Linked DNA regions of Anolis sagrei. The main gene of each other region encodes a partner of the protein of the gene in region 3 in a complex. Links are inferred from orthologs where the notes say so. Each region holds a gene or a part of one and is shown on either strand. Other genes may lie near its edges. The genes, in order: GINS2, GINS4, MCM6 and CDC45.

Region 1 (7,098 bases), on a different chromosome or scaffold from region 3:
AGGGAATAAATATCTCAACTAGCCATAAAGATCCTTTGAAACCTCAACATCTTCTCAGGCTTAACCAACCGCCATGGACAAAACGTACATTCTTTGTATTAGGCATTATTGCTGCAGATGGAATGATGGCTGGAATGAGCATCAGATTACTGTATAATGTATTGTTGAAGGCTTTCATAGCCAGAATCATTGGGTTGTGCGTTTTCCAGGCTGTATGGCCATGTTCCAGAAGCATTCTCTCCTGATGTTTTGCCTGCATCTATGGTGGGCATCTTTAGAGGACCTCCTCTTTAGAGGACCTCACAACCTCTGAGGATGCCTGCCGTAGATGCAGATGAAACATCAGGAGAGAATGCTTCCAGAATATGGCCATACAGACTGGAAAACTCACAACAATCCAGATTACTGTATACTTGATCCATCACTATCAAACTGAATGCGGTTTCCTATGTCACTTTTTTTTGTATAAGAATTGAAATCCTTGCACTCTCTTTGGCCATTTCTCCCCAATTATATTTCTGCTAGATTTGCCCCCTCCTAAAAAAAAAGCCTGAAAGTTTGATTCCAACCTTAGCATTGATTCTATCCATTGCTGGACTGGCATGTTTTATTGTCATTGGAAATAATAATGTTTTCCAAGTCTTGGGAATATTTATAAAGCATCATGATTTGTTATGCATTTAGAATGTCCTGTTTTTTTGTGAAATATTTTATTATTTTATATTATTTTATTTATTTACTAACGGGTCCCTGGCGTTGCCCGGGGTATTTTAAAATGTCATTTTGTAAAATTGCACAAAATGCATAAGGTTGTAGGTTAACTGCAACAGACATCATGCCAACTGATTGAGAATTTTTATTTTATTTTATTTATTTCAAACAATTCTCAATCCCCAAGGGGGGACTCAGGGCGGCTTACGCCGGCAACAATTCGATGCCAACACACAATATAGCAAGAGAACACGATTAAAACATTGATTAAAACATTAAATATAAATAGGCAGTTAAAACATTATTAACAATAATATGGGCACATCCAAAATAGATTCAACATTCAGGGACTTAGTTCATTATCAGTTCACTTACTTAGGCGATCCCTCGTTTTCCGAGGAGGATTGTCTTCCAGTGTTCTTGTGGGTCCGTATGTGGCTGTGGAGCCCTATTCTTGCTCTGCATCTTCTTCCGCACTGAGGGCATTGGTTTCCAGGCGGAAGGCGGTCTCAGTCGGGGTTGGCTTGACGCGCCTTCCTCTTGGCACGCGTCTCCCTTTCGCCCTCTTCAAATTCTGCAGCACTGCTGGTCACAGTTGACCTCCAGCTGGAGCAGTCAAGGGCCAGGGCTGCCCAGTTCTCAGTGTCTATGCCGGAGTTTTTAAGGTTGGCTTTGAGCCCGTCTTTAAATCTCTTTTCTTGTCCACCAACATTCTGTTTTCCGTTCTAAGCCTGCTGTCCAAATGCCTGGTCCCACAACCACGATTTGAGCTTTTTCCTGAAGGAAAGGAGAGATGGCACCAACCTAATTTCACTGGGGAGTGAGTTCACAGGCGGAGGCCCACCACCAAGAAGGCCGTGTTGCACAAAGCGTGTTTTAGCCAAGTCCCATGCAAAAGACACACAAACAAGAGGGAAAAAGGAACATAAAAACTTTACTCTTAGCAGCAGAGGTGGAGCCCCCGGTGGCACAGTGGGTTATTGATTGATTTATTTAAAACACTTATATTCCGCCCTTCTCACCCCGAAGGGGACTCAGAGCGGAGCACAGCATATACATGGCAAACATTCAATGCCTGGGTACAATACATAAACATTAAAAAACATTTATCTAAATATTAAAATACACCATTTAAAATAACACAATTTAAAACCGTCCTAGCCATCCGCATCAAATCCAATTGGCTCTGTCATCTTTCCCATTGTCGCTTCATTGTCCTGTCCCGAAAGCTTGGTCCCACAGCCAAGTTTTTACCATCCTTTTAAAGGACAGGAGGGAGAGGCCGACCTGATCTCACCAGGAAGGGAGTTCCATAGCTGGGGAGCAATCACCGAGAAGGCCCTGTCCCTTGTCCCCACCAATCGCGCCTTTGACAATGGCGGGACGGAAAGCAGGGCCTCCCCGGAGGATCTTAATCTCTGCGATGGTAGAGGGAGATGCGTTTGGACAGGTAATTTGGGCCAGGGCCGTTTAGGGCTTTAAAGGCCAAAGCCAGCACTTTGAATTGTGCCTGGTAGTAAACTGGCAGCCAGTGGAGTTGGCGTAACATGGGAGTTGTATGCTCCCTGTATGCCACCCCAGTTATTAACCTGGCTGCCTCTCGTTGGACTATTTGAAGCTTCCGAGCAGTCTTCAAAGGCAACCCCACATGGAGTGTGTTGCAGTAGTCTATTCTAGATGTAACGAGAGCGTGGACCACCGTGGCCAAGTCTGACTTCCCAAGGTACGGGTGCAGCTGGCACACAAGTTTTAATTGTGTGAACGCTCCCCTGGCCACCGCCGAGACCTGGGATTCCAGGCTCAGTGATGAATCCAGGAGAACTCCCAAGCTGCAAACCTGTGCCTTCAAGGGGAGTGTGACCCCATCCAGCACAGGTTACGACCCTATACCCTGTTCGGCCTTGCGACTGACCAGGAGGACCTCTGTCTTGTCTGGATTCAACTGAACCAAACTTGGCGTGAATGGTCAGTATGGCTAAATGTGAACACTGGTGGAGTTTGGGGAAAATAGACCTTGACGTTTGGGAATCTGAATCCCACCAATGATAGAATTGGGCCAATAGTAAAGAATAGGGAAGGGTTAAGGGAAAGGCAGTGGGGGAGGGGGTCATGCAATTTCCACATCAGTGGAGAGAGTCAGAAAAACTGGGATGTCTGTGGTGGAGGAAACACATAAAATCTAGGAGCAAATTCTCCTTGTATGATAGCCTTCATTTGGGTGAGGGACAGGATGGTGTTTGTGGAGGACATTGGCAGGGCTCTTGGACATGTTGATGGTACTCACTATAACCTTCAATGTCATTGGCCTTTGATGTCTCCTGAGTAGTGGGAGCTATAGTTTGCTGAGGCTGGACCTTGCCTGTGTTAGTGGACACCCCAGTCGCATACAAACACATACAGATTTTCTCTTTTATTGTGTGTATAGAAGATATTTTATTTTATATTTTATTATTTTATTTGATACTATTTTATATTTAATTTAATTTAAATTTAAATCTTATTTTATATTTTATATTTTTTAAATTTTTATTTTATATTATATTTATTATTTATTAATATTTATTTATTAATATTTATTTATATTTATATTATTTATATTTATTTATATTTATTTATATTTAATTCTATCTATCTATCTATCTATCTATCTATCTATCTATCTATCTATCTATCTATCTATCTATCTATCTATCTATCTATCTATTTTTAGAGGCATCCGAAATACAGACTAATCACCTCTAGAGCCAATAAAGTGCAACACAGCTTCAAAATATAGCGTTACCCAATCACAGCAAGCCTCCAAGGAATGAGCCAATCAGGAGACGGGGCGAGAGACCCTCCAACCAATAGACATCGCTCGTAGGCGGGGCTAAATTCCATGCGAGAAAATAAGACAACATAAGTTAAGCATTAGTGGGCGGGGTCTTCCCTGTTTCTCTGCCTCTCAACCAATGGCAGCTATGATTGTCTGCTGTAGGAGGAGATATGCAAAACATTGAGCTTCTCATTGGGTTAAGAGTGGGTAGTGGGCGGTACTTTCTCTTCCCATCCAATAGGAAACGCCAGGAAAAGCGGGAGGCTTTCAATATAAGCTAAAAGCAGCGGGTGGAGCAGTGGGCGGGATTTAGCTCTTGTTTTCTACCAATAAAAATCGCGCTTGAGGAAAACCCAGGCTTTTCATTGGATAGAAAAGTAGTCAATCACGTTATTCCCAACCAGTAGGATGTACGGCTTTCTCAGGCTTGGAATTAGCGCGGGAAAGAAAAGAAACCAATTCGCGGTGGGCGGGGTTGGCTTGAGTTTCCCAACCAATAGCAGGTGCGCGGGACCAAAGCGGGGGGTTTCATTGGGCTACGGAAATGATTGCTCGCGTTTCCGACCAATAGGAAGCGGAGATGCCCCAGGAGGCTGAGTTGAGGCTGCATTTTGCCATGGAGGCCGCGGAAGTGGAGTTCCTGGCCGAGCAAGAGCAGGTCACCATCATCCCCAACTTCAGCCTGGACCGGATCTACCTCATTGGGGTGAGTGAGGCGACGAGGAATTTAGGAAGTGTTAAAAGCCCCCCAGAGCTTGGCTTGAGCTAATATTGGCAGACTGCAGCTCCCATCATCCCCAGAAAGTGGTGTAGGAAGCGTTAAAAGCCCCCCAGAGCTTTGCCAGAGCTAATTTTGGCAAACTGCATCTCCCATCATCCCCAGACAGGGGTTTAGGGAGTGTTAAAAGGCCCCCAGAGCTTTGCCAGAGCTAATTTTGGCAGAATGCAGCTCCCATCATCCCCAGAAAGGGGTTTAGGAAGTGTTAAAAGCCACCCAGAGCTTTGCCAGAGCTAATTTTGGCAGACTGCAGCTTGGGGAGAAAGTTCCAGAGTCGGGGGGCCACCACAGAGAAGGCCCTGTCCCTCGTCCCCACCAATCGCGCTTGCGACGTGAGAAGGGCCTCTCCAGATGATCGAAAAGATCATGTGGGTTCGTATACAGAGATGCGGTAAAGCAGGTAGACGGGTCCCAAGCCGTTTAGGGCTTTGTAGGTAAGCACCTGCACCTTGAATTGGGACCGGAAAATGAATGGCAGCCAGTGGAGCTCCTTAAACAGGAGGGTTGACCTCTCCCTGTAAGGAGCAGCAGTTAACAACCTGGCTGCCGCCCATTGGGACCAGTTGGAATTTCCGGGCCGTTTTCAAGGGCAGCCCCACGTAGAGCGCATTACAGTAGTCCAATCTGGACTCTATCCAGCTTTTGCTGCTGCTCAGAAACTATACTAGCTGGCTCCGGAATGGCAGCTGTAGTGCACAAAAAGTAACTCCCAAGTTCTGGGGTTGATAATGAGGTATAGAATAGGCATGGGCAAACTTGGACCCTCCAGGTGTTTTGGACTTCAACTCCCACAATTCCTAACAGCCTACAGCTTTTGAAGTCCAAAGCACCTGGAGAGTCCAAGATTGCCTATGCGTAGTACAGAAAGAGCATGAGGGAGAACCTGCCGGAGGAAGACTTGTCCCTTATGCAAGATTTGTAATTCATATCTTGAATCCCTGGAAAACAGCTGCACATTCCAGGACGATGCCGGAACCAGACCTAAAGTGACTTCTTCATGCTTTCCCTTTTGTAGGGAGACCTAGGTCCCTTCAATCCTGGGCTTCCTGTGCAAGTTCCTCTCTGGCTGGCTATCAACCTAAAACAGAGGCAGAAGTGCCGCTTGATCCCTCCCGAATGGATGGATGTGGGTAAGGAAGACCTTTTCTCCTGTCTTAGGGTGTGTCTATTCCAGTCATGGGCAGATGTCAGTCCTCCAGGTGTTTTGGACTTTAACTCCCACCAGAGGCGGCCCTAGGTAATTTTCAACAGTAAGCAAACAGTATTTTGGCGCCGTCCCCCGTCCCCCCCAACCAATCATTGATATATATATTCTGTTCGTCGTGGGAGTTCTGTGTGCCATATTTGGTTCAATTTCATCATTGGTGGAGTTCAGAATGCTCTTTGATTGTAGGTGAACTATACATCCCAGTAACTACACTTGCCGCACTTGCTTCCTTGCCTGGCCCGCTTTGGGTCTGGAGGCGTGCCTGAAGACCCCGGCGTGTGCACCAAAAGTCACCTCTTCTCCTGACTTTCTCCTCAGCCATTGGAACCAAGAGAGAGAGAGGTGGAGATGCCTACCTTTCCTGAAGGTAGGCGCAAAAACAAAGGAGGGAGTGGAGGTAAGAGATACCTCCAGCCAGTGGGGCTCTCTCTCTCTCTCTCTTGGTCCCAATGGCTGAAGAGAAAGTCAAGAGAAGAGGCGACTTTTGGTGTGCACGCTGGGGTCTTCAGACACGCCTCCGGACCCGAAGCGGGCCAGACGAGGCGGCTCCGCCCCTTGGCCCACCCGTGGATTGGGGAGAGGAGAGGAGGCGGGTGGAGCGCCGGGGGATCGGGGAAGGGATCGAATGCAGAGAACGATTGAGCACCGGCTCTGCTCACGCACCCGGTGGCTGGGTAGAGCAGGAACGAGAGGGGCTAGGCGAGGCTCAAGGGCCCGGCCCCTTTGGGAAGAGGATCGCCCGGCAGCGAGGCAAGAAAGCCGAGGCTCCCCCGGACTGCTAGGGCTGTTGTGAGCTGAGGGGGCACTCCTCAAGTGGCGGTCGAGGGGCATTTACAGAGGCGCCTCTGCACCCCTGGCAAAAAAAAGTGTTCTGCGACCGCTTACTTCGCGAGCCGCCCCTGACTCCCACTATTCCTAACAGCCGGTAGTGTGATGAATAAATGATGTATGGATTGAATGGAATTGTATGAAAGCTGTATGGACCTATTGTTGGAAATAGCAGCCTTCTGCAAGCCCCCTATCCTAGTTTTTTGTTATGTATATGATTGTTAACCTATTTATTTATTTATTTCATATATTTATATCCCGCCCTTCTCCCCACAAGGGGGATTCAGCGCGGCCTCACATAAGCATCAGAGGATGCTAACAGCATAAATACCATAAAAATTACAATTCACAATAAAATCATTTTAAAACATTATACAACATCATCAGTAAAATCTATATAAATAAAAATGTAATGTTCGTTTGTGGGATTAACAGAACTCAAAACCCACTGGACGAATTGACACCAAATTTGGACACAAGACACCTAACAACCCAATGTATGTCCTTCACTCAAAAAATTGATTTTGTCATTTGGGAATTGTAGTTTCTAGGATTTATAGTTCACCTACAATCAAAGAGCACTGTGAACCCCACCAACGATGGAATTCAACCAAATGTGGCACACCGTTCTCCCATGACCAACAGAAAACACTGGAAGAGTTTGGTGGGCAGTGTTCTTTGGTTTTGGAGTTGTAGTTCACCTACATCCAGAGATCACTGTGGACTCAAACAATGATGGATCTGGACCAAACGCTACAC
Region 2 (7,439 bases), on a different chromosome or scaffold from region 3:
GGGCTTCAGTCCCCCCCCCCCCGAAATTCTGATGGTGGTCCACGAGAAGGCCTTACTGGTGCATTATTTAAATTGTTATGTTTATTCATATCCTGATCTGATCACCATACTCAATATATCCCATATGCATGGGGGGTATTGGGGTAATGATACAAAAGGTTTGCTGGACCCTCTTTCACTCAGACTCAGCCCCCCCGAACCAAACTCAGCCCCCCCCCCCTCAAAACAAAATCCTGGCTACGGGCCTGGCCTCCCCAGTAGATCTTAAATTATGAGGCCTCTTATAATACTATTCTTCCCTCCAAGTATATTATTATATTATAGTATTATATTTTATTATTATTATTCCCTCCAATATATTATTATTGGAGCCCCCGGTGGCGCAGTGGGTTAAAGCACTGAGCTGCTGAGCTTGTTGATCGAAAGGTCGCAGGTTCGATTCCGAGGAGCGGCGTGAGCTTCCGCTGTCAGCCCTAGCTTCTGCCAACCTAGCAGTTCGAAAACATGCAAATGTGAGTAGATCAATTATTATTATTATTATTATTATTATTATTATTAACTTTATTTGTACCCCGCTAGCATCTCCCGAAGGACTCGATGCGGCTTACACGGGCCGAAGCCTCAAAACACAATACAATAGAAAACATAACACAACAATAAACAAAGCAAATCAAACAATTAAGCAAAGTAACCACAATGACAATACATCAATACATCAAGACACTATTAAAACTGGTTCGGCCGGCGCAATGGGGTACAGGGTTAAAAGTGCTGAGATGGCAGGAGGAACGTAGGATTAAAAGTGCGGTGTGCAGCAACATTGGTTGTGCTAAAGTGCTTCTAGGACTTGGGATGGGGATTCCTAATCTGAGAAGGCACATCGGAACAGCCAAGTTTTTAGGTTCCTTCTGAAAACTGCTAGAGTAGGGGCCTGACGAAGCTCTTTTGGAAGGGCATTCCAAAGTCGGGGGGCCGCCACAGAGAAAGCCCTGTCCCGTGTCCCCACCAAGCGCGCTTGCGACGTAGGTGGGATCACGAGCAGGGCCTCCCCAGATGACCGGAGCGAGCGTGTGGGTTCATAAATGGAGATGCGGTACCTAGATCAATAGATACCGCTCCGGCGGGAAGGTAACGGCGCTCCATGCAGTCATGCCGGCCACATGACCTTGGACAGCGCTGGCTCTTCGGCTTAGAAATGGAGATGAGCACCACACCCCAGAGTCAGACATGACTGGACTTAATGTCAGGGGACTACCTTTACCTTTACCTATATTATTATTATTATTAAGAAACTGCAACTCGCTTCTGGTGTGAGAGAATTGGCCGTCTGCAAGGACGTTACCCAAGGGATGTTACCTGGATGTTTGGATGGCGAGCAAGTGGGTGATTCCGTCCATTTTTTTTTGTTGTGTCATCATCATCATCATCATTTAATAACTTATTAATCGCCCTCCATCCGAGAATGCTATGGGCGATTTAGAGCTAAATTACAAAAGATAAAATACATACATACAAAAATTAAAAATCAACAGAGATCGAATGCTCTAGTGAAAAGCCAGGTGTCTGAAGTGCTAGAGTAAAAGGCCCTAAGTCACGCATGGCTCTCATGTAGGGCGGCAAGGAATGCCACAATAAGGCAGGAGGGGCAGAAAGAGAGAAAGCCCACCTGCGCCTGGTCCTTTCCAAGGGCACTTCTCTAGGACCCGGGATATGGAGTAAGTCACGTTGGGATGGTCGTTGCGACCTCCGATGATGGGAGAAGGAGAGGCGGTCCCTAAGGTACGATGGACCCTGGCCGTAAAGAGCTTTAAAGGTCAGAGCTAGCATCTTATATAGACCACGGTAATTGGTTGGAAGCCAATGCAAATGCCGCAACACTGGTGTGATATGGCATTATTTCATGGGCGTTCTTGTGAGTAGCCTGGCTGCCACATTCTGAACAATACGGAGCTTTCGGGTCGTAGACATCAGAAGGCCCACATACAGGGCGTTGCAATAGTCCAGCCTAAATGTGACCGTAGCATGGATGACCATTGCCAGAGCCTCGCCAGATAGGGAGGGTGCCAGTTGCCTCGCTTGTCGTAGATGGAAAAAGGCCTGTTTAGTGGCAGCAGCGACCTGAGCTTCCATTGTCAGCTGTGAATCCAGGATGACACCTAAGCTCTTAAGAGTGGTCGATGGAGAGAGGGCGGCACCATCGAAGGTGGGCAACGGAGGAGTCAGACCTGCCGGGCGGCCATGCCAGGGAATCTCAGTCTTCGCCGGGTTCACCTTCAGTCTGCTAGCACGTAGCCAGTTCGACAGAGCTTCCAGACATCGGGTGAAATTGTCTGGAATTGACGTTGCTCCAGACTCCAGGCGCAGAAGGAGTTGGGTATCGTCTGCATATTGGTAGCAGTCCAGGCCGAAACTCCCAGTCAAGGAGTGACTTGAGAAACTGCAAGTCGCTTCTGGTGTGAGAGAATTGGCCATCTGCAAGGACTTTACCCAAGGGATGTTACCTGGATGTTTGGATGGCCAGCAAGTAGGTAATTCCTTCCAATTTTTTTTGTCATGTCAGGAGTGACTTGAGAAACTGCAAGTCGCTTCTGTTGTGAGAGAATTGGCCGTCTGCAAGGACGTTGCCCAGGGGATGCCCGGATGAATTGATGTTTTTATCATCCTTGTGGGAGGCTTCTTTCATGTCCCCGTATGAGGAGCTGGAGCTGATAGAGGGAGCTCATCCGCCTCTCCCCGGATTCAAACCTGTGACCTGTTGGTCTTCAGTCCTGCCGGCACAGGGGTTTAACCCACTGTGCCACCAGGGGCTCCTTTCCTTTAAGTAAGGAGGGAGGATGCCAATCTAATCTCGCTGGGGAGCAAATTCCACAAGCAGAGGGTCACCACCGAGAAGGCCCTGTCCCTCGTCCCCACCAGATGCGTTTGAGACGCTGGTGGGACCGAGAGCAGGGCCTCCCCAGTAGATCTTAAATTATGAGGCCTCTTATAATAAGGAGGCTGTCCAGGTCCTGAACCGGTCCCTGGCCGCTGTGACGGTCTGGATGAGGGCGAACAAATTGAAATTGAATCCAGACAAGACAGAGGTACTCCTGGTCAGTCACAAGGCCGAACAGGGCATAGGGTTACAGCCTGTGTTGGATGGGGCCGCACTCCCCCTGAAGACGCAGGTTCCCAGCTTGGGTGTGACCCTGGACTCATCACTGAGCCTGGAACCCCAGGTTTCGGCGGTGACCAGGGGAGCATTTGCACAGCTAAAGCTTGTGCGCCAGCTGCGCCCATACCTTGGGAAGTCTGACTTGGCCACGGTAGTCCACGCTCTGGTTACATCCCGTTTAGACTACTGCAACGCTCTCTACGTGGGGTTGCCTTTGAAGACAGCTCGGAAGCTCCAACTAGTCCAACGCTCGGCAGCCATGATTTTAACAGGAGCGGAGTGCAGGGAGCATACAACCCCCCTGTTGCGCCAACTCCACTGGCTACCGATCTGCTACCGGGCTGAATTCAAAGTGCTGGCGTTGGCCTTGAAAGCCCCAAACGGTTCCGGCCCTAGCTACCTATCTGACCGCATCTCTGCCTATGAACCCACCAGGACTTTGAGATCTTCCGGGGAGACCCTGCTCTCGATCCCGCCTGCTTCTCAAGCTCGGCTGGCGGGGACGAGAGATAGGGCCTTCTCGGTGGTGGCTCCTCGGCTGTGGAACGCCCTTCCTACGGACATTAGACTAGCACCATCTCTAATGGTATTCCGCAAAAAGGTGAAGACCTGGATGTTTGTGCAGGCGTTTGAGTAATTTAGTGCAATCTGGTAATGGAACATAGGAATGGAACAATGGACGACGAATCTGGACTACGCTTGGATGAGGAGAAGATTGGGTACGGTTGTGTTTTGTAATAATTGTGCATTGTAATTGCTTATTGGTAATTTATGGATAATGTGTTAAGTCAATTGTTATATGTTGTATGGAACCACTGCTGTTTCTACTGTTTTTACTGTTTGTGAACCGCTGTGAGTCGCCTTCGGGCTTGAGATACAGCCGTATAGAAGCAAAGTAAGTAAGTAAGTAAATAAATAAATAATAATACTATTCTTCCCTCCAAGTATATTATTATTATTATATTATAGTATTATATTTTATTATTATTATTCTCTCCAGTATATTATTATTATTATTATTATTATTATTATTATTGAGAAACTGCAAGTCGCTTCTGGTGTGAGAGAATTGGCCGTCTGCAAGGACGTTACCCGGATGTTTGGATGGCCAGCAAGTGGGTGATTCCGGCCTTGACATATTTACATTGTCCGGCTCCTTTAAGAATGTGAAGGGGCGGGGCCGAGAGTCATGTTGGCGCGCAATATTCATAAGTAGGCGGGGCCAGTGCCGTTCTTTCTTTCCTCAGCGTCGCTGACGTCAGCACACCTAATTAGAATCCGTGGCGGGAAAGTGTTGGGCTTCCCTTTGGCGCCAACATGGCCGAGGCGGAGGAGGAAGCCGGGCTGGAGTCAGAGGGCGAGGAAGTGGTGCTCACCCCGGCCCAGCTCATCCAACACCTGGAGCAGGTGAGCCCAGGCGGCCCTTGGGGGAACTACAACTCCCAGGACACTTCCCCTTCAATTATGGCAGGCCCAGGACCCCCCTCCTCCAACCCAATCACCTCCCCAAATGTGGCCACTTTATTTGACTGTCTACCATGAGCTTCCTCATCAGTGGGACATGCTGTTTGGGAATACTACAACTCCCAGAATCCCCTCTCCCATCAGCATTTTTTTGAAACACACTGCAACTCCCACAATTCCCCATCCAACTCCCAGAATCCCTCCCATAACTTATTTAGATGGAGTAGAACTCTGTTTGGGAATACTACAACTCCCAGAATCCCCCCCATCAGCAATTTTTTTTGCCATAGATGTAGGAGAAACGTCAGGAGAGAATGCCTCTAGATCATGGGCATATAGCCCGAAAAAACCTACAACAACCCTATATTATGATTGTTGTTATTATTATTTTTGTTTGAATGGAATGCAATTCCCAAAAGCAACCCCTACCCCCAACAGCATGGCTGGTTATTTAGGCACACTACAACTCCCAGAATCCTTCCCACCGGTGTCTCTCATCATCTGGGCCATCTCCAAGGTTTTGCTGTCTCTTTCCAGGCTTGGATGAATGAGAAGTTTTCCCCTGAGCTGCTGGAGAGCAAGTCGGAAATCGTGGAGTGCGTCATTGAGCAGCTGGAGCACATGGTGAGAGAGATGACAAGGTTCATAAAAACACACAGGTGTAAATGGCCAGCTACGTTGCACCATATTATTATCATTATTATTATTATTATTATTATTATTATTATTATTATTACTAGCTGTATCCTGGCCATGTGTTGCTGTGGCCTAGTCTGGTGGAGCAGCTGTTGCAATCTATCCAGGCATATAGGCTTCCTCTTTCGTAAGAACATCTTTCCTGTGTTATTATTATTTACTAAATATAATTATATTTATTCATATATATATATTCATCTCTTAAGTGAGACTATTTCCTATGCAAGTGTGGAGCTGCGGTCCCAATCTATCTGGACAAATAGCCTTCCTTTTTTGTAGCAACGTCCTTCCTGTATTATTATTATTATTATAATTATTATTATTATTTACTAAATGCAATTATATTTCCTTGTATTTATATTCCTCTCTTAAGTGATATTTTTCTCCCATGCAAGTGTGGAGCTGCTGTCCCAATCTATCCGGGCAAATAGCCTTCCTCTTTTGTAGCAACATCCTTCCTGTATTATTATTATTATTATTATTATTATTATTATTTACTCAATTTAATTATATTTCCTTGTATTTATAGGCCTCTCTTAAGTGAGATTTCCTCCTATGCAAGTGTGGAACTGCTGTCCCAATTTATCCAGCAAATAGCCTTCCTCTTCTGTAGGAACGTCCTTCCTGTATTATTATTATTATTATTATTATTATTATTTACTAAATGTAATTCTATTTCCTTGTATTATATTCCTCTCTTAAGTGAGGTTTTCTCCTATGCAAGTGTGGAGCTGCTGTCCCAATCTATCCAGGCAAATAGGGTTCCTCTTTTGTAGCAACGTCCTTCCTGTATTATTATTATTATTATTATTATTATTATTATTATTTACTATATTTAATTATATTTCCTTGTATTTATATTCCTCTCTTAAGTGAGCGTTCTTCCTATGCAAGTGTGGAGCTGCTGTCCCAATCTATCCAGGCAAATAGGGTTCCTCTTTTGTAGCAACGTCCTTCCTGTATTATTATTATTATTATTATTATTATTATTATTATTTACTATATTTAATTATATTTCCTTGTATTTATATTCCTCTCTTAAGTGAGCGTTCTTCCTATGCAAGTGTGGAGCTGCTGTCCCAATCTATCCAGGCAAATAGGGTTCCTCTTTTGTAGCAACGTCCTTCCTGTATTATTATTATTATTATTATTATTATTATTATTATTATTATTTACTATATTTAATTATATTTCCTTGTATTTATATTCCTCTCTTAAGTGAGCGTTCTTCCTATGCAAGTGTGGAGCTGCTGTCCCAATCTATCCAGGCAAATAGCCTTCCTTTTCTGTAGGAACGTCCTTCCTGTATCATTATTATTATTATTATTAGTGGTATTATTTACTCAATTTGATTATATTTCCTTGTATTTATATTCCTCTCCTCAGTGAGATTTTCTCCTATGCAAGTGTGGAGATGCTCTTGCAATCTATCCAGGCAAATAGGCTTCCTCTTTTGTTGCAATGTCCTTTCTGTATTATTATTACTATTATTTACTAAATTTAATTATATTTCCTTGTATTTTTATTCCTCTCTTAAGTGAGATTTTCTCCTATGCAAGTGTGAAGCTGCTGTCCCAATCTCTCCGGGCAAATAGGCTTCCTCTTTTGTAAGAACATCCTTCCTATATTGTTATTATTATTGTTATTATTATTATTATTATTATTATTATTTACTAAACTTAATTATATTTCCTTGTATTTACATTAATCTCTTAAGTGAGATTTCCTCCTATGCAAGTGTGGAGTTGCTGTCCCAATCTATCTGGGCAAATAGCCTTTTTCTTTTGTAGCAATGTCCTTCCTATATTATTATTGTTATTATTATTATTATTTACTAAATTTTTCTTGTATTTATATTCCTCTCTTAAGTGAGATTTTCTCCTATGCAAGTGTGAGATGCTGTCCCAATCTATCCGGGCAAATAGGCTTCCTCTTTTGTAGGAACGTCCTTCCTGTATTATTATTATTATTATTATTATTATTATTTACTAAATGTAATTCTATTTCCTTGTATTATATTCCTCTCTTACGTGAGGTTTTCTCCTATGCAAGTGTGGAGCTGCTATCCCAATCTATCCAGGCAAATAGGGTTCCTCTTTTGTAGCAACGTCCTTGCTGTATTATT
Region 3 (7,298 bases):
AGAAAAGAGCTCATGTGCCCCACAGAAGAACTTCAAAAAGCTAAAGTATGAAAATAGTTTGAAATACACGTGTGTTGCACTCCAGGCATGGAAACACCTATGACCACCGCGCCACACAAAAGTCCAGGAATATAAGCAAACAGTTTATTGTAAAACACATAAAAGCATATAAAAAGCAGGAATAAGAAAGGAAGATATATAATCCCAAAAGGTTTAGCAACAGGTGATAACCAAACAATAATCCAAATGTCTCATACAGTTCCAGAGGTGACAAAGTCCAGGAACAGCCAGTAATCACAGGTACAGTGTGAAGTCCACAAGCAAGAAGGTATAGCTAGTAAAAACTTGCACAGGAGTACATGAACAGGAACATAGAAAACTTCCAGGATATATTAAATCCAAAACCAAGAGTTAACTTGAACCAGGGAAGTCAGGCTTAGCTTCTCACTCTAACGCAGTGTTGCCTGAACTGCCCTTAAGGTAAACAACTTGTTTAATAGACACCCATAAAAGTGTCACATCCCCTGTAAATTTTCTCTACAACTTTCCCATGTAATCTCTCTGAACGACACAATCTATTTTTGGCTCTGATTTGTAAACAAAAACTTTTGTTGATCCCCATAGCTACAGGTGGTTTCTCCTGGAAACCCTCCTTATCATTCAGCTCTTCACTCAGTTCCTTATCTACTGATGCTACTTCTGGCTCTCCTGACTGGCTTTGTGGCCCTGCACTTTCCGAGCCAGTTTCCTCACAAAGAGAACCATCATTTCCCAGACTTGAGGGCCTATCACTTTGTGCCACAAGAAAGCTAACAATCCCCTCTAAATCATCAGTCCCTGGCTGATCTACAACAATGGGTTCTTTTAAAAAAATGCAACCCTATACACAACTGCTATTAACTTATTTAGGCCTAGACATGTATTACTGTGGGTTTCCTTATTTACCCCACTTGGACTTTCCTGCCCATCCTTTGTTGATTTCGGTTATATTTCAGATTAATATCCTTGCAGCAAGCTCCTGGTACCTTGAAAAACATCATTACATACTGATGCCACTCTTTAAAATGTCATTATATGTTCATTTATCTAGGAAGCTTGTCCTAGCTAGTATGAACATATGATATTATATAGTGAATAACTTACACAATGACTGAGCTGACTTTGCTCTCATTTGATCTCCTTTCTTTCTCCTATTAAAATCCCCATTTCCGTGCCCATCTGTTAATATTTTAGGAAAAAACCATTCTTGGGATCTTTTACAACAAAAGCATATTTCATTTATGTTCAACAAAGTAGATTATTTTTACTCTAACAAGCAACCTCCACAGTCTGACCCTACAAGTCCAGCTCTTTGGCTACTTTCACCCATCCTAATCGTTTAGCTTTTAGACCCCTCTCTATATACTCTGGACCCCAATATATACTAGCCAAGTTGTGTGGTAAATGCTGGCAAGGTGTGACGGAATCACATTAATTCAGAGAGAGAGAGAGAGAGAAGGAGATGTATAAAATTATATTTAATATATAATAAGTTAAACATCTAAAATAGACTGGCTTCCCAATCCACACATCCTATTGTGATATGAGAATTAAAATTCTGGTCTCCAGAGTCATAGTCCACCTCTAGCCACTGCTCTACGCTGTCACTCTATTTTATTTCACAGAGAAATTATGCATATTCTTTTTATTGCCTGTCCTAAATAGTAGGTATTTCCTGAGACATGAGGCCTTGATACAAAATGTGACAATAGGTGGCTGTATGTTTAGAGCCATGTCATTCTGATTTTCAGTGGCCACTGCTGTTAATTAAAAATCCTGAGGCAAGAGCTGGTGTGTGCAAATTGTAGAGACTTCGGAAGAGCTATCTGATCAAATGCTATTTAATATTTTGTGACAGAACTCTGTTACAGTTTTATTATACCTTGAAATAAAGGTGGAAGGAAACAAAAGTGTAGAAATTAAGGTCTGAAAAACCACGTGCTTAAGAAATCAGCTTAGCCAACAGACCAGCTGTGAATACTAAACCTTGACATAATCCCAGAAAAAAATAGAATTACTCTTGTTCTTAGTTGTGTTTAGGTTTACTAAGTGGATTATAAGCAGCTGATTACCACAGATTTATTTCTCTTAAATTCAGTTTCCAGGAAGAATGGTTTGTTCAGCTAATCCAACTGGAATCAATCAAATTCAATTACCTTTCCCCATACAGAGCTGGTAATATCGCTGGATAATAATCTTTTTTTTATTTCTGAATGCTTCATCCCAATAAAGTCATTGACTTTTATGCTGAAAGGCTTTTTGGAAAGTCATGATGCAGAACAAAATAATGTTATCGCAAAATTCTTGTCTTGTGTCTATTACTTTGTCACACAGAAGGGACAAATTCTACAAAGCAATATCTTTGTTACTTATACCAACTCTTGCAAAGGTGATAGACAGCCTGTACAAATGGTTCAAGAAGGGTGGTCCTTTCAGTAGGAACCTTTAAGTTGGACCATATTATTGGCTGCAATCCCCATTTGGTGAAACAATATACAGTTATGACAACATCAGATTGCAGTGGTGATATCATTTCACACCTGGCTACAGGGAAATGCTTCTGTAGTTTTCCAATGTCAGTGCTGCAAAAAAAATCTTGAAAATTAAAGATAAGGAAAAAGGGGGCCAGGTTGCCCTCGCCCATAAAAAAGACCATCATAGTTAAAGATTTTTGTTATATCTTAGTTAACAAAAATAATTAACAATGAAGATCTTTTTATGGAGGAAGGCAACCTGGCCACATTTTTCCTTGTCTTTAATTGGCAAGCTTTTTTTTTTTTTTTGGCAGCATTGACATTGGAAAACTACAGAAGCATTTCCCTGTAGCCAGATATGAAATGATAATATCTGCACTGCGATCTGATGTTGTCATAATTTTATATTGTTCAGCCAAATGGGGATTGCAGCCAAAAATATGGTCCAACTTAAAGGTTCCTACTGAAAGCAAAATGAAGCTACTCCATAATTTGCACAACCCTCTTTATGGATCAGGTTGTGGCGCAGCTGGTTGGGAGTCAGCTACATTAAAATCACTACTGGTCATGAGGTCAAGACCAGCCCGGGTAGAAGTAAGCTCCTGACCATTTGTCTAGCTTGCTGTTGACCTTTGCAGACTGAAAGACATTTGCATCTTTCAAGTAGGAAGTTTAGGTGCCGCTTATGCGGGGAGGGTAGTTTAACTAATTTACGATGCCATAAAAAATCTCCAGCAGCATGCAAATGAATAAGGAAGTACTCCATCGGTGTCACAAGTAGACAGTGAAGCGACAACTCCCCTGATAGCCGGAATTCGAAGCATACCCTGATGGAGCTGGAAAGTTAAATAGCCTCTGTGCGTCTGTCACCCCTTCGGGGTCAGAAGGGCGGGGTAGAAGTAAACCAAATAATAAATATGTTGTGTGTCTATGGCATTGAATGTTTGCCATGTATATGTGCATTGCGATCCGCCCTGAGTCCCTGCGGGGTGAAAAGGGCAGGAGCCCCCGGTGGCGCAGTGGGTTAAAGAGCTGAGCTGCTGAGCTTGTTGACTGAAAGGTCACAGGTTCAAACCCGGGAGCGGCGTGAGCTTCCGCTATTAGCCCCAGCTCCTGCCAACCTAGCAGTTTGAAAACATGCAAATGTGAGTAGATGAATAGATACCACTCTGGCAGGAAGGTAACAGTGCTCCATGCAGTCATGCTGGCCACATGACCTTGGAGGTGTCTATGGACAACGCTAGCTCTTCGGCTTAGAAATGGAGATGAGCACCACACCCCAGAGTTGGACACGACTGGACTTCCATGTCAGGGGAAACCTTTACCTACTGTAAATAAATAAATATGGGTTGTTATAGGTTTTTCGGGCTATGTGGCCATGTTCTAGAAGCATCCTCTCCTGACGTTTCGCCTGCATCTATGGCAAGCATCTTCAGATAAAATAAAATAAAAATGCTACACATTTGAGGCATAACAGGCCAGGAGGATTAAGTCAAGGGTTTTAATCTGCCTTTTTTGGTCAACCAGAAGCTAGCAGTTCGAAAGCAGCAATGTAGATCAATTGGAGGAGAGGTAAAAGGCGCCCGTGAAGACAGCACCATTCCCCCACCGTCTCCAATTCTTGTCCTCCGGCTTTGGGGAGGCCCCTTTAAGAAGAACGTCCACAGCCACCCCTCTTCTCTCCGCTTCCTGTTTCCTCTGGTTTGGCGCGAAAAAGTTGCCGGCGTAACATTCGAAAGGGGCGGGGCACCAGGCGCGGAGGCTTCTGATTGGGCGCGGCGCGGGTTGGTGGCGCGAAATCCCTTCCATTCTCCTGGTATTGGCGTGATGGACTTGGCGGCTGCAGGAGAGGCTGGTGCGGCGGCGGGCAACGCGGCGCTCAAGCAGATCCGCGATGAGGTGGCCGAGAAGTGCCAGAAGCTCTTCCAGGACTTCCTCGAGGAGTGAGTGGGCCCTCCCTGGTTTGGGGATCCTGGGAGCTGCAGTCCTCCAGTGCCTCTACCCCAGGTTTGGGCCAACTTGGGCCTTCCAGGTGTTTTGGACTTCCACTCCCACCATTCCTAACAGCCTCAGGCCCTTTCCTTTCCCCCCTCAGCCGCTTAAGCGGCTGAGGGGGGAAAGGAAGGGGCCTGAGGCTGTTAGGAATGGTGGGAGTGGAAGTCCAAAACACCTGGAAGGCCCAAGTTTGCCCAGGCCTGGGGTAGAGGCACCCCTAGTCTATGCTAGTTTGCTAGCATTCATTAAGCATTAGAGCTGCCTCAGTTGTCTGAATGGATCAGTTTCCCCCATTAATGCTTTGTTGTTTTTTCTTCTATACTTGCATTACATCTTGAAAATGTTTTTGCAAAGCTCTTCCCTGAAACACTGCCTTTTTCAGGTTCCAGGACAGTGATGGCGGAGTTAAATACTTGAGAGATGCCGAGGAGTTGATCCGCCCAGAGAGAAACACATTAATTGTAAGCTTTCAGGACCTGGAGCAGGCTAATCAGCAGCTTGCGACCACCATCCAGGAGGAGTTCTACAGGTGAGACTGTCCCAACTTCTTTATTGACCTGCTTTTTGTGTTATCACTAACTTTATCCAAGGTGTTAAGGAACTTGAAGTTAGTAATAGGTTTGTATCTGTGGGAGATACGTTACTGGACTTCTCATGGGAAAAAGCAAACACTACTGAAATGAACTACTTCTGTTGGATGTTGCCATAGAGTCATGCTGGAGGACAGAGGCCCCTTCCACACAGCTGAATAAAATCACACATTTTCCGCTTTGAACAGGAATATATGGCAGTGTAGACTCAGATAACCCAATTCAAAGCAGATATTGTGGGACTTTCTGGCTTGATATATATATATGGCTGTATGGAAGGGCCACAAGTATCAAGTGAGACTGTGGCAAAAAAAAAAAAAAAACAGAATCACCTAAAGCATTTCCTATAGAGGACATATTTTGGCAATGAAAAAAATCCCTTTTAATATTTTTTGCTTCCTTAAAGCAACTTTATGAGATTTTTTTTATTCTGATAAGTGAAATGTCAACTAATCAGGATTTTAAAAAAACAACAAAAAAACTTTGATTTCAGCACATTTTGTTCCAAAAACATGATGTAAAAATAAGATATAAACTATTTATTTATTTATCTCGTTATTTACTTGCAGTATTTATATTCTGCCCTTCTCACCCCGCAGGGGACTCTGGGCGGATATACATGGCAAACATTCAATGCCATAGACACACAACATATATAGACAGACACACAGAGGCTATATAACATTCCAGCTTTTTTCATGAGGGTATTCTGGCCACCACGGGAGCTGTTGCTTCAGGGTCCATTTGTGACACTGATGAAGTACTTCCTCATTCTTTGCATGCTTTGCATGGAGTCGTAAATTAGCCTCCCGCATAAGCGGTACCTAAATTTCCTACTTGACAGATGCAACTGTATTTCAGGCTGCAAAGGTTGACAGCAACCTACAAAATTTGTTGGAAGCTCACTCCGACTCGGGCTGGCTTCAGACTCATGACCTTTTGGTCAGTAGTGATCTTAATGCAGCTGACTCCCAGCCAGCTGTGCCACAGTCCCACCACAGTTCTTTTGAAGTCAAATACATTTGTTGGCTTGCTCATTTAAACTTTGCTAATAAGGTACACTCCCATGCACTTTGATGCCTTTTGAAGAAATTCTTAAGTCTAAAGCCAGAAAAGTTTGTATCACTAAAATCTTGCTTTCGTTTCAGAGTCTATCCTTACTTATGTCGAGCTGTAAGGACATTTGCCAGAGACCACGGAAATGTCCCTCCCAACAAGGACTTCTATGTGGCTTTTCAAGACCTGCCTTCTAGGCACAAGTAAGCATCTCTGAAGATAGTGAGCATGAAGTGTGGTTTCTATTGGGAAGATAAAAGTATTCAGCTTGGCAAGAAGATCCATTGTGAATGCTGGATCACAGTTCAAGGCCTCTGAACATATAGGGCACCAGAGCAGATTGTCCTATTGCTTTAGCTATGTGTGAGGTTTTTTTGTATAGCCTCTCTCTTGTTTATTAATTTTCATGAGTGCTGAGGGTTTTTTTGTTTGTTTTTTGTACATCTTATCTCTTATGTATCCTCCTGTATATTAGCTCCTCTTTTATGGTGGCATGGTTAATTCAAAAGGAGTGATGCCACCTCACGAAACTTTGGGGGCATAATTTCTTTTTTTATGGACAATGCTGGCTCTTCTGCTTAGAAATGGAGATGAGTACCACCCCCCAGATTTGGACTCGACTAGACTTAACGTCAAGGGGAAACTTTTACCTTTATCTTTATATATTCTTTGCCTAGTATTTTAGGGTTAGGTTAAGATCATATAACATTTTAAACTGAAAATATGTGACGACCATATAAGGTTCATAAATGTTTTCTCGTTACTGTGTATGTGAGTGAGAATATAAATGAAAGTCAACAACTCATGTTCTTTGGAACATTGGAACCATCACAGAGCAAAATTTTGTAGGTGTCATCAGGGGCATCTACACTGTAAAATTAGTACAATTTGACACCACTGTAACTGCCACAGTGCAATGCAATGGAACCATGGGAGTTGTAGTTTCCTGAGACAATCTTTGGCAGAGAAAAAAATCATATAAAACTACAACTCTCAGGACTCTATAGCACTGAGTCAGGGCAGTTCAAGTGGTGTCATACTGCATTATTTATTTCTTTTCTTTTTTTGTAGATGCACTTACAAATAATATTATCCACCAATGTAAGCACAGAAGATACCTTCTCATTCATAGCTAAAGAAAAAT
Region 4 (7,998 bases), on a different chromosome or scaffold from region 3:
TCCCTCAATGAAATGGGACGGTTGCATCATAAAAGCCCTATCACAAAGGAGCTTGACACAGCAGTATAATAAACACAACTCACTCTCCACTGACCATGTGATATGGCTTTCCAACCTGTATTTATGACTTATTGACACTTAAAATTAGACATCCTGGCTTCTCACCTTGTGCAACGAATAGTGTAGTTGACTTTTTCCTGCTTTATTTTGTTTTTCCTAGCATATACAGGGGGTTGTTTTCTATACAGTACCGTTTCATTTATCTAGGTCTGAAAAAATATATTATAAGCATTTTCTAGGTCCTCCAGCTCAACTCTATACTAGCCTTTTAAAAATATATATAGATTCATCAATGGTGAAGGAGCCACAAAAGAGAAGGGGGGGGAGGTATTATAATAATAAAGAAATAAAATATGTATAAGTAGATAAAAGGTGTGTAGTAGAGGTATATGAAGTATAAGTTATAATGGAAAGTTTAAAAATGATAAATATGCTTAAAGATGTCATAGATTTATTTTTCTTTTACTGTTGGTTTGTATATAATATGGTATACTCCCTTGTCTAAGATATTGTAAAAAGAGGGAAAAAAACTCTATACTAGTCTTGGGGCAAAAGTCCCTGTCCTTTAGGGCTCACTATTATCCACCTTTTCACGTATCCCCCGCAGAGATGGCAGGCAGTCTATATGTCTTTCAGTCCGCTCCTTCTTCCCAAAGTAACCACAAAGGTGACAAAAATGCTTTGCAGCTCATTGTTATTTTAGGTCCCATAAGAGAAGACCACTCCAGAGAGCATCCCAAAGAAAAACCAACACATACTTTTCCCTCCTTTCTCCACATCGGATCGGTCATTAGGCCCAGCAAGCATTGACACTGAGAAACAACGGTATTGAGTTGAGAAACGGTTCTGGAAGACTCGGGGAATCGGATGATCAAACATGTTGAAAGAAAACTGGGGAGAACAAAATAAGTTATAAGCCAAGGCATTCGAAGACGTGGGTGGCCTTTACACAGAACACGACAAGCCAAAGTGGTCAAGATACTGAGACAGAAAGAGAGAACTTTTGACCCCGAAAATGTCTCAGGCTATAACCCCCACAATTCCTTAACATGGCCATTGACAGGCGGGCTTCTGGGAGTTGTAGTCCAACACATTGTTGTAGTAGTAGGCCCCCTCCCTATTGGCATTTCGGAGGAAAGTGAAGACCTGGTTGTTCGAGCAGGCATTTGAATAGGCAGTGTAATGAACATAGGAATACAGAACAACGGATGAGATTGGATTGTGATTTTACTTGAGACGTTAATGAGACGTTATATTGATGTTTAACTGTTTATTATGTTATTATTGTATTCATTTTTTAACTGTTTTATGATGTTATGCATTGAATTTTTGCTATTGTTAACCGCTTTGAGTCACCCGAGGGCTGAGAAAAGCGGTATATAAATGAAGTAAATAAATAAATAAATAAATTGGAGGGGGATGCTAACAGTTTTCCATCCAGATAAAGCTTAATTGGACATCCTTCTTTCATGAGGTTGATGTGAGGCTCAAACCAGCAGACGGCGAATCAATATTGCATATTTAGCATTGTTGTGTGCCTTCAAGTCATTTCCAACATTGGACAAATTGGATTTTCTTAGTTCAGAGGGTTGACCATTGCCTTCCTCTTACATTGAGAAAGCACAAATTGCCCAAGGTCTCCCTTTGGGGTTCCATGGCCAAGCAAGGGATGCAGCCACACTGTAGAATTAATGCAGTTTGACTCCACCTGAATTACCCTGTCTCAATGCTATGAAATCACAGAAGTTGTTGTTTTGCAAGCTCTTTTACCTTCTCTGCAGGAGTGCTCATGCTACCCCAAAATTACAACTCCCAACAACTCCTGAGGTTGAGAGTTGGAAATGTTTATCCCACTCCTTTAGAAGATTCCTATCACATCCCACTGTTATTGTGAGATTATTCCACCTTAACTGCCATGTTAATATCATACAGAAGGATGTGATTTGCAGTTGAAGGAGGGGCATTGAGAAACCTCAGCTGGAGAGCTCTCAGGTCTTACTAAAAAGCAAGCCTTTGCATTCCAAAGGAAGTTGCCAAAGAGGAATCAAAGTGCTCTAAACATGTGGAGTGATAACAACCTTATGCCTTACCTGAGGAATGTCATTTTCCCCATTTGATGTTCTTGTAACCCAGCTGGAATTTAGAAACTGTACTTTTATTTACACTTGCATTTTATAAAGAAAATATATGTGCGTGCATATACATACATACATGTGTGTGCAAGTATCTGTATGTATATACACACATACATACACTGTATATACTCATGTATAAGTCAAGGACATGTTTGAGGGTAAAAATTATGGATTTTGATATGACCCATGGGTAAGTTGAGGGTTATTCTGTAGAGAGGGGAAAGCGCCAGTGCTGCCGCTACTATTTTCCCCTGCAGGACATTCAGTAAGTCTAGAAGCAGCTTGGCAGCCGAGAGTACAGGAGACTGGTGATTCTTTGAAGTTCCCCTGAGTTGGACCAAGTGTTTGCCTTTTGCCATCTTACTCAAAGAAGGGGGAGGTTCCTGTCTTGATCAGAGTTACAGTATGTACACAGACCTGTGGATAAGCCGACCCAGGTTTTTGGAGTTGATGTTCCGGCTCAAATTTCTAGATGAATACATCAATGTATAGTTCTCAAACATACTATATGGATACACATAATAATTAAAAATGTATAGAGATACACATAAGTCTATAAATGAGTCTATAATTCCCAAAGATACAATAAGTATATGAATAGTAATACTACTAACAAGAAAACATGTCCTCTGCCACCGAGCAATCCAATTTTTTAGTGTCAATAATATGGCTCAAAATTTCTAGATGTATACATTATATATAGACTTATACATGAGTCTATATATGAGTTTATAGTTGCCAAACATAGTAAAAGTAAGTATATGGATACATGTGAAACTGCCTTCTATTATCTCAGGCTATCTTTTCAAACAAAGAGGCCTAGGACTCAAAGCCAGGTTCCTTTTGGCATCCAAATATGTATGATGATGCTACCAAGGGACCACAGTTTTTGGTTCCATGTTCTAGCTCCAATTTCTAGACTTATACATGAGCCTATAGACTTGTACATGAGTTTATATACTGTATTGATGTGAGTCTAATGCGCCATCGACCCTAATGCGCACCTCAATTTTCAAAACCCTGAAATAAAAAAAGTATTTGCTGGCAGCACACTGTCATTTGGACAAAAAAGGTGTGCATTACTGTTGCTGCCTGTTTAGAATTCCTTCTTTCAAAGCAAAAGTGTTAGGACACCAAAGCTTCCAGCGACTGAGAGGAAACCCTTGGGGTGCATCTATGCTGTAGTATGAATGCATTTTAATTGCTTTGGTTCAATGCTATGAAGTCATGGCGGCTGTAATTTTCCAAGGTCTTGAGCCTTCTCTCCCAAAGAATGTGGATGCCTCATAAAACTACACCTGGAGGGAGGGAGAGCAAAAGTTGGTCCAGGTCTGGCCTATAGAGTATTATTATATTATTACATATATATAATTTTATTAGCATAGCACAATATTAGTATTATACATCATTATATTGTACTGTACCACTATGCTGCAGTATTATTAGTAATATTACATGCACTATATAATACAGACTTATTATATAATTATATCGTACTACATGATTATACCACAATATAATACACTATCAGTATATTATACTATTGGTATTTTACAATACATTGTACTATATTATAAGTTTTAGTATATACAATATACAATATATTATATTATAGCATTTTAAAGTATTATTACATTACAATGTAATTATTTCTACATATTATAATATTATATATATTGAGGGGCTCCAGAGTGATGCTGCAGGAGACATGATGTAGCTGTGATAATAATAATAACGTAATACACTTAATAATAATAATAATGTAATTAATAATGTAATTAATTATGTAATGCACTTAAACACAATCGGCGCTGACAAAATTACCATCTGCCAGCTGCAGAAGGCCACCTTACTGGGATCTGCACGCATTACTTGCCGATACATCACACATTCCTAAACACTTGGGAAGTGTTCGACGTGTGATCCAATACAACAGTCTGCAGACTGTCTGCTGTGGACTGATCTTGTTGTGTTTCAAATAATACAATATCATAGAATCATAGAGTTGGAAGAGACCCTGTGGGCCATCCAGTCCAATCCCCTGCCAAGAAGCAGGAAAATAGCATTCAAAACATCCCTGACAGATGGCCATCCAGACATCTAATACCAATTAAATACTAATGGCTGCTAAATACTACTGTTAGTCATTTGATTCTAATATATTAAATATAATTACAACTTATCATCTATAATAATATATGATATACTGTTTTGTTATTGTATATTTAAAGTTGTCATGTTTTGTATTGTGAGTCCCTTTGAGTCTCTGTATGGAGAGATAATGCAGGATATAAAGAATCTAGAGTAGGCCTTGATCCCCAGAGTCCTGTCAAGAACACAAGGCTTGCGATGGAGGCTGCCTCCACCCCCCAAAGAGTAAGAAGAAGAGTCAAGAAGACCCCACCAATGTCCCTGTCACCAGAAACAAGGCTTCTTCAACCACAGGAGCCCTGTCCTGCCCTCCACTGTGGCTCCCAAGCAAAGCCAAGTCTCCCCAAGGCAGCCTCGGGCGGCAGAGGCCGAGGGGGCGGCAGCAATGGCGGCTTCCTTCACTTTTCTCAGCAGGAGGCCTATCCCAGAGCCGCCGCCCCCTCCCAAGCCAGTTCTGAAGTCACAATGCAGGCGACGGGGCAGGGAGGCTCCGGAAAAGCCTCAGGGCCTAGGCCTCAAAGCCCTTACCATGGCGGCCTAGAGTTCCTCCTTTGCCTCTCTTGCTTCGGACCCGACCAAGGCCTCCGCGCCGCCGCTTGTCGCTCGCCTCACCGCCAGGGACACCTTCAACAACTCCGGCTCCACATGAAAGACCCGCGAAAACGCCTTCACTTTCGAAGGAATGTTTAGGAAGACATCGAAGGCCGTCAAGGCCTTGCAAAGTGGTGTTTTGGAATTCGTAACTACATGTCCCAGAATGCGCTTCGAGGCCTCTTCCGCCTTGGAAGCAAAAGGGGCGGGGTTTCGGGCAACTCCTCTGAGGACAACATAGGTTGGGCTTGGGTCTTCTTCACCTGAGCTGAGCTGAGCTGAGCGGGCCGGGCCGACCCGCCCCTATGCCTCGCCGCCAAGTCATCTCAGTCCCCGAAGGAGTCTCATCACTTCCGGCTGTGAGTCGCCATTATTTCCCCCCCCCTCCTCCGTGAGAGAGGAAAGTGCTCCGCGTCACTCCTAATCCGCGGAATCAAATCCTACATTTCCTGCTCGAAACTGGGGGTTCTTCCAGGCTGCCCTTTATTCCAGGATCTGACCCCAGATTACCTGTTTCCAAGTGGAGTATATGCGGCCCCACTGCCAGATAACCTGGGAGAAACAGATAATCTGGGATCAGATCCTGGGATATAGGGGCAGTGTGGAAGGGCCCTGGAATATCTAGCAGTGTGGGCTCCGAGAACTCAGGGCCCTTCCACACAGCCACATAATCCAGAATATCAATGCAGAAAATCCCATAATATCTGCTTTGATCTGGGTTATCTGAGCCCACACTGCCATATATCCCAGTTCAAAGGAGATGATTGGATTCAGCTGTGTGGAAGGGGCCGAAGTCAAGGGCCCTTGGCTGTTGTGCGGCGACTGAGCAAATGTTCCGGCTGACTATGCCCAGGTGGTGATTGGTGTCAGGTACCGGGGCGGGCCCGCTTCGAACTTGTCCAATGAAGATCACGGAAAGAGAGAGAGAGAGGAGACAGCCCATTGGTCGAGGCCCGGAGCGTGGCGGCCAATAGGGAAAGGGAAAGGTTTTGGCGCCTTCCTTTGAGCGGGGAAGACAGCTTCCCGAGGAGTTTTGTCGCCCGACGCCATTGCCGCCTTCCTGTCAGCGGGTTCTTCGGCCTTTGAGCATGTTCTTAACGGACTTCCGCAAAGAGTTCTACGAGGTGGTTGTGAACCAGGTGAGCGGGAGCTTTTCTCCGGGAGTCTGCCGCCGCTCCCTCTTTGAGGCGCGGCCATGATGGAGGAGGAAGGCCTCCGCCCGCTCTCAGGAGCCCAGGGAGCTCCCTCAGGGGGACTCCCACTCTCAGAAGCTGCGAGGGACTCGGGGCAACCATTTTCTTGTCCTAATTAGAAACTTACCCATTGTAGTGCTCATTACTGCCACTCAATCAACAAACTGCGAATGATCAAAGTTTTAGCAGTTCCCACACTTGAATAACACCAGCACTCCACTTCTGTAGGGATTGAAGTGGAGGCTTTTCAACAGAGCCTGGATGGCCATCTCTCAGGCATGCTTTGATGGTGTCCTCCTGCCTGGCTGAAGGGGGTTGGACTGGATGCCCTTTGGGGTTCTCTAGAGAAATATAGACTGCTTGGGAATCCATTGGAGTCTCCTTCTCTGGAGATTTTTGAACTAAGGCTGGGTGGCCATCCAGGGCTGCTATGAGTGTGCCTTTCTGCCTGGCTATTTATTTTTATTTATTGTGTCAGAAGTGAATTGAGAATACAGTTATAATGTATTTTAAATTAAAAACACAAAGTTAAAAACTTGGCATTATACAAGATTTCATTTCACCAGAAGATGGCCACTTGGAGAGCCTCTGGTTTCACTGTAAGAAGGTGCATGTTTTTGGAAAACACCATTTGGAGATCATAACTTTAAAAAAGCATGACCTTTTGGGAAGAGCCAAAAATCCCTTTGTTTAGAATCTTCTCTTGTGGTGTACAACCAGATGTAATTGTGCTAGGCAATGATTGCAGCTGTTAGACCGAATAACCTGTTATCTCTGATCTGTTAGGAAAATAGATATTTTTGCCAGTTCATAAAACAGCAGAACTTTAGAAGTGTTTTTAGTTGTCCATATATATATATACTCTCCCATAAAACAACTTGTTTTATATCATGCACTCAAAAGACAAAAATTAAGTAGACTTTGATAAAAATAACATATTTGGTTTACTCACAACCTTCATTCATTCAGCATACCTTAGTCCAATCGGCCAGGACAATCTTACAGCAAAAACAGCAAGCAAGTGTGTGATCTGAGGTCTGAAATAGTCTGTAGTCATGAAGTAGTCTGTTTCTTTGCTATAGTGATAATGTGGTTTGCAGCCCTTTTCTAGGAACCATAGAGTAAATGAAGCTACATGCCCAGAACATACATACAAACAGTAAGCAACAGGTTCATAGATAAACATTACTAGAGAAGGCTTGAAGAAGGTTGTCATTTCCAGAACATGTGGTGGGGCACAGACTGCATTGTAGTCAGTGATCTATGGTTTGTTCTTCTCCACACTTGCATGTTGTGGATTCAACTTCATGGCCCCATTTCTTAAGATTGGCTCTGCATCTCGTGGTGCCAGAGTGCAGTCTGTTCAGCGCCTTTCAAGTCGCCTAGTCTTCTGTGTGCCCAGGAGGGAATCTCTCATCCAGTCTCAGCCACTGATTGAGGTTCTGGGTTTTAGCCTGCCACTTTTCAACTCTTGCTTTCTCAGGTGTTCCTGTGAGTGCGTCTGTAGATCTTAGAAAGCTATTTCTTGATTTAATGCATTGGTATGCTGGCTGGTATCTGTACAGAAGATGGGCCAGGGATGTCACTGCCTTGGTCCTTTCATTATTGGCTGCTACTTCCCAACAGATGTCAGGTGGTGCAATACCAGCTAAATAGTATAGTTTCTCCAGTGGTGTAGGGCATAGACATCTTGTGGTAATGTGGTATGTCTCATTAAGACTCACATCCACTGTTTTAACATATTCCACACTAGGCATACGTATTCAGTGGCAGAGTAGCAAAACACAAGGGCAGGTGTCTTCACTGTGTCTGGTTGTGATCTCCAGGTTGTGCCAGTCAGCTTTTGTGGGATATTATTTCTAGCGCCC

The links.
Region 1: MCM6 (region 3) and GINS2 share a complex: the UniProt entries of both Homo sapiens proteins name them as parts of the CMG helicase complex. The link is inferred for Anolis sagrei from reciprocal best matches to the Homo sapiens genes MCM6 and GINS2.
Region 2: MCM6 (region 3) and GINS4 share a complex: the UniProt entries of both Homo sapiens proteins name them as parts of the CMG helicase complex. The link is inferred for Anolis sagrei from reciprocal best matches to the Homo sapiens genes MCM6 and GINS4.
Region 4: MCM6 (region 3) and CDC45 share a complex: the UniProt entries of both Homo sapiens proteins name them as parts of the CMG helicase complex. The link is inferred for Anolis sagrei from reciprocal best matches to the Homo sapiens genes MCM6 and CDC45.

The regions. Positions count from the first base shown.
Region 1 is NC_090028.1:24,665,668-24,672,765, forward strand, and holds the start of GINS2 (DNA replication complex GINS protein PSF2), read left to right. Parts: upstream 1-4,094; 5' UTR 4,095-4,106; coding exon 4,107-4,232; intron 4,233-5,319; coding exon 5,320-5,434; intron 5,435-7,098. UniProt on the Homo sapiens protein: Required for correct functioning of the GINS complex, a complex that plays an essential role in the initiation of DNA replication, and progression of DNA replication forks.
Region 2 is NC_090027.1:4,071,033-4,078,471, forward strand, and holds the start of GINS4 (DNA replication complex GINS protein SLD5), read left to right. Parts: upstream 1-4,424; 5' UTR 4,425-4,471; coding exon 4,472-4,561; intron 4,562-5,155; coding exon 5,156-5,242; intron 5,243-7,439. UniProt on the Homo sapiens protein: Required for correct functioning of the GINS complex, a complex that plays an essential role in the initiation of DNA replication, and progression of DNA replication forks.
Region 3 is NC_090021.1:213,785,201-213,792,498, forward strand, and holds the start of MCM6 (DNA replication licensing factor MCM6), read left to right. Parts: upstream 1-4,296; 5' UTR 4,297-4,340; coding exon 4,341-4,456; intron 4,457-4,890; coding exon 4,891-5,037; intron 5,038-6,246; coding exon 6,247-6,357; intron 6,358-7,298. UniProt on the Homo sapiens protein: Acts as a component of the MCM2-7 complex (MCM complex) which is the replicative helicase essential for 'once per cell cycle' DNA replication initiation and elongation in eukaryotic cells.
Region 4 is NC_090034.1:34,185,939-34,193,936, forward strand, and holds the start of CDC45 (cell division control protein 45 homolog), read left to right. Parts: upstream 1-4,988; 5' UTR 4,989-5,242; coding exon 5,243-5,296; intron 5,297-5,337; exon of another isoform or gene 5,338-6,025; coding exon of another isoform or gene 6,026-6,076; intron 6,077-7,998. Other genes in the region: UFD1 (ubiquitin recognition factor in ER-associated degradation protein 1), read right to left, coding at 819-951, 4,875-4,877. UniProt on the Homo sapiens protein: Required for initiation of chromosomal DNA replication. Core component of CDC45-MCM-GINS (CMG) helicase, the molecular machine that unwinds template DNA during replication, and around which the replisome is built.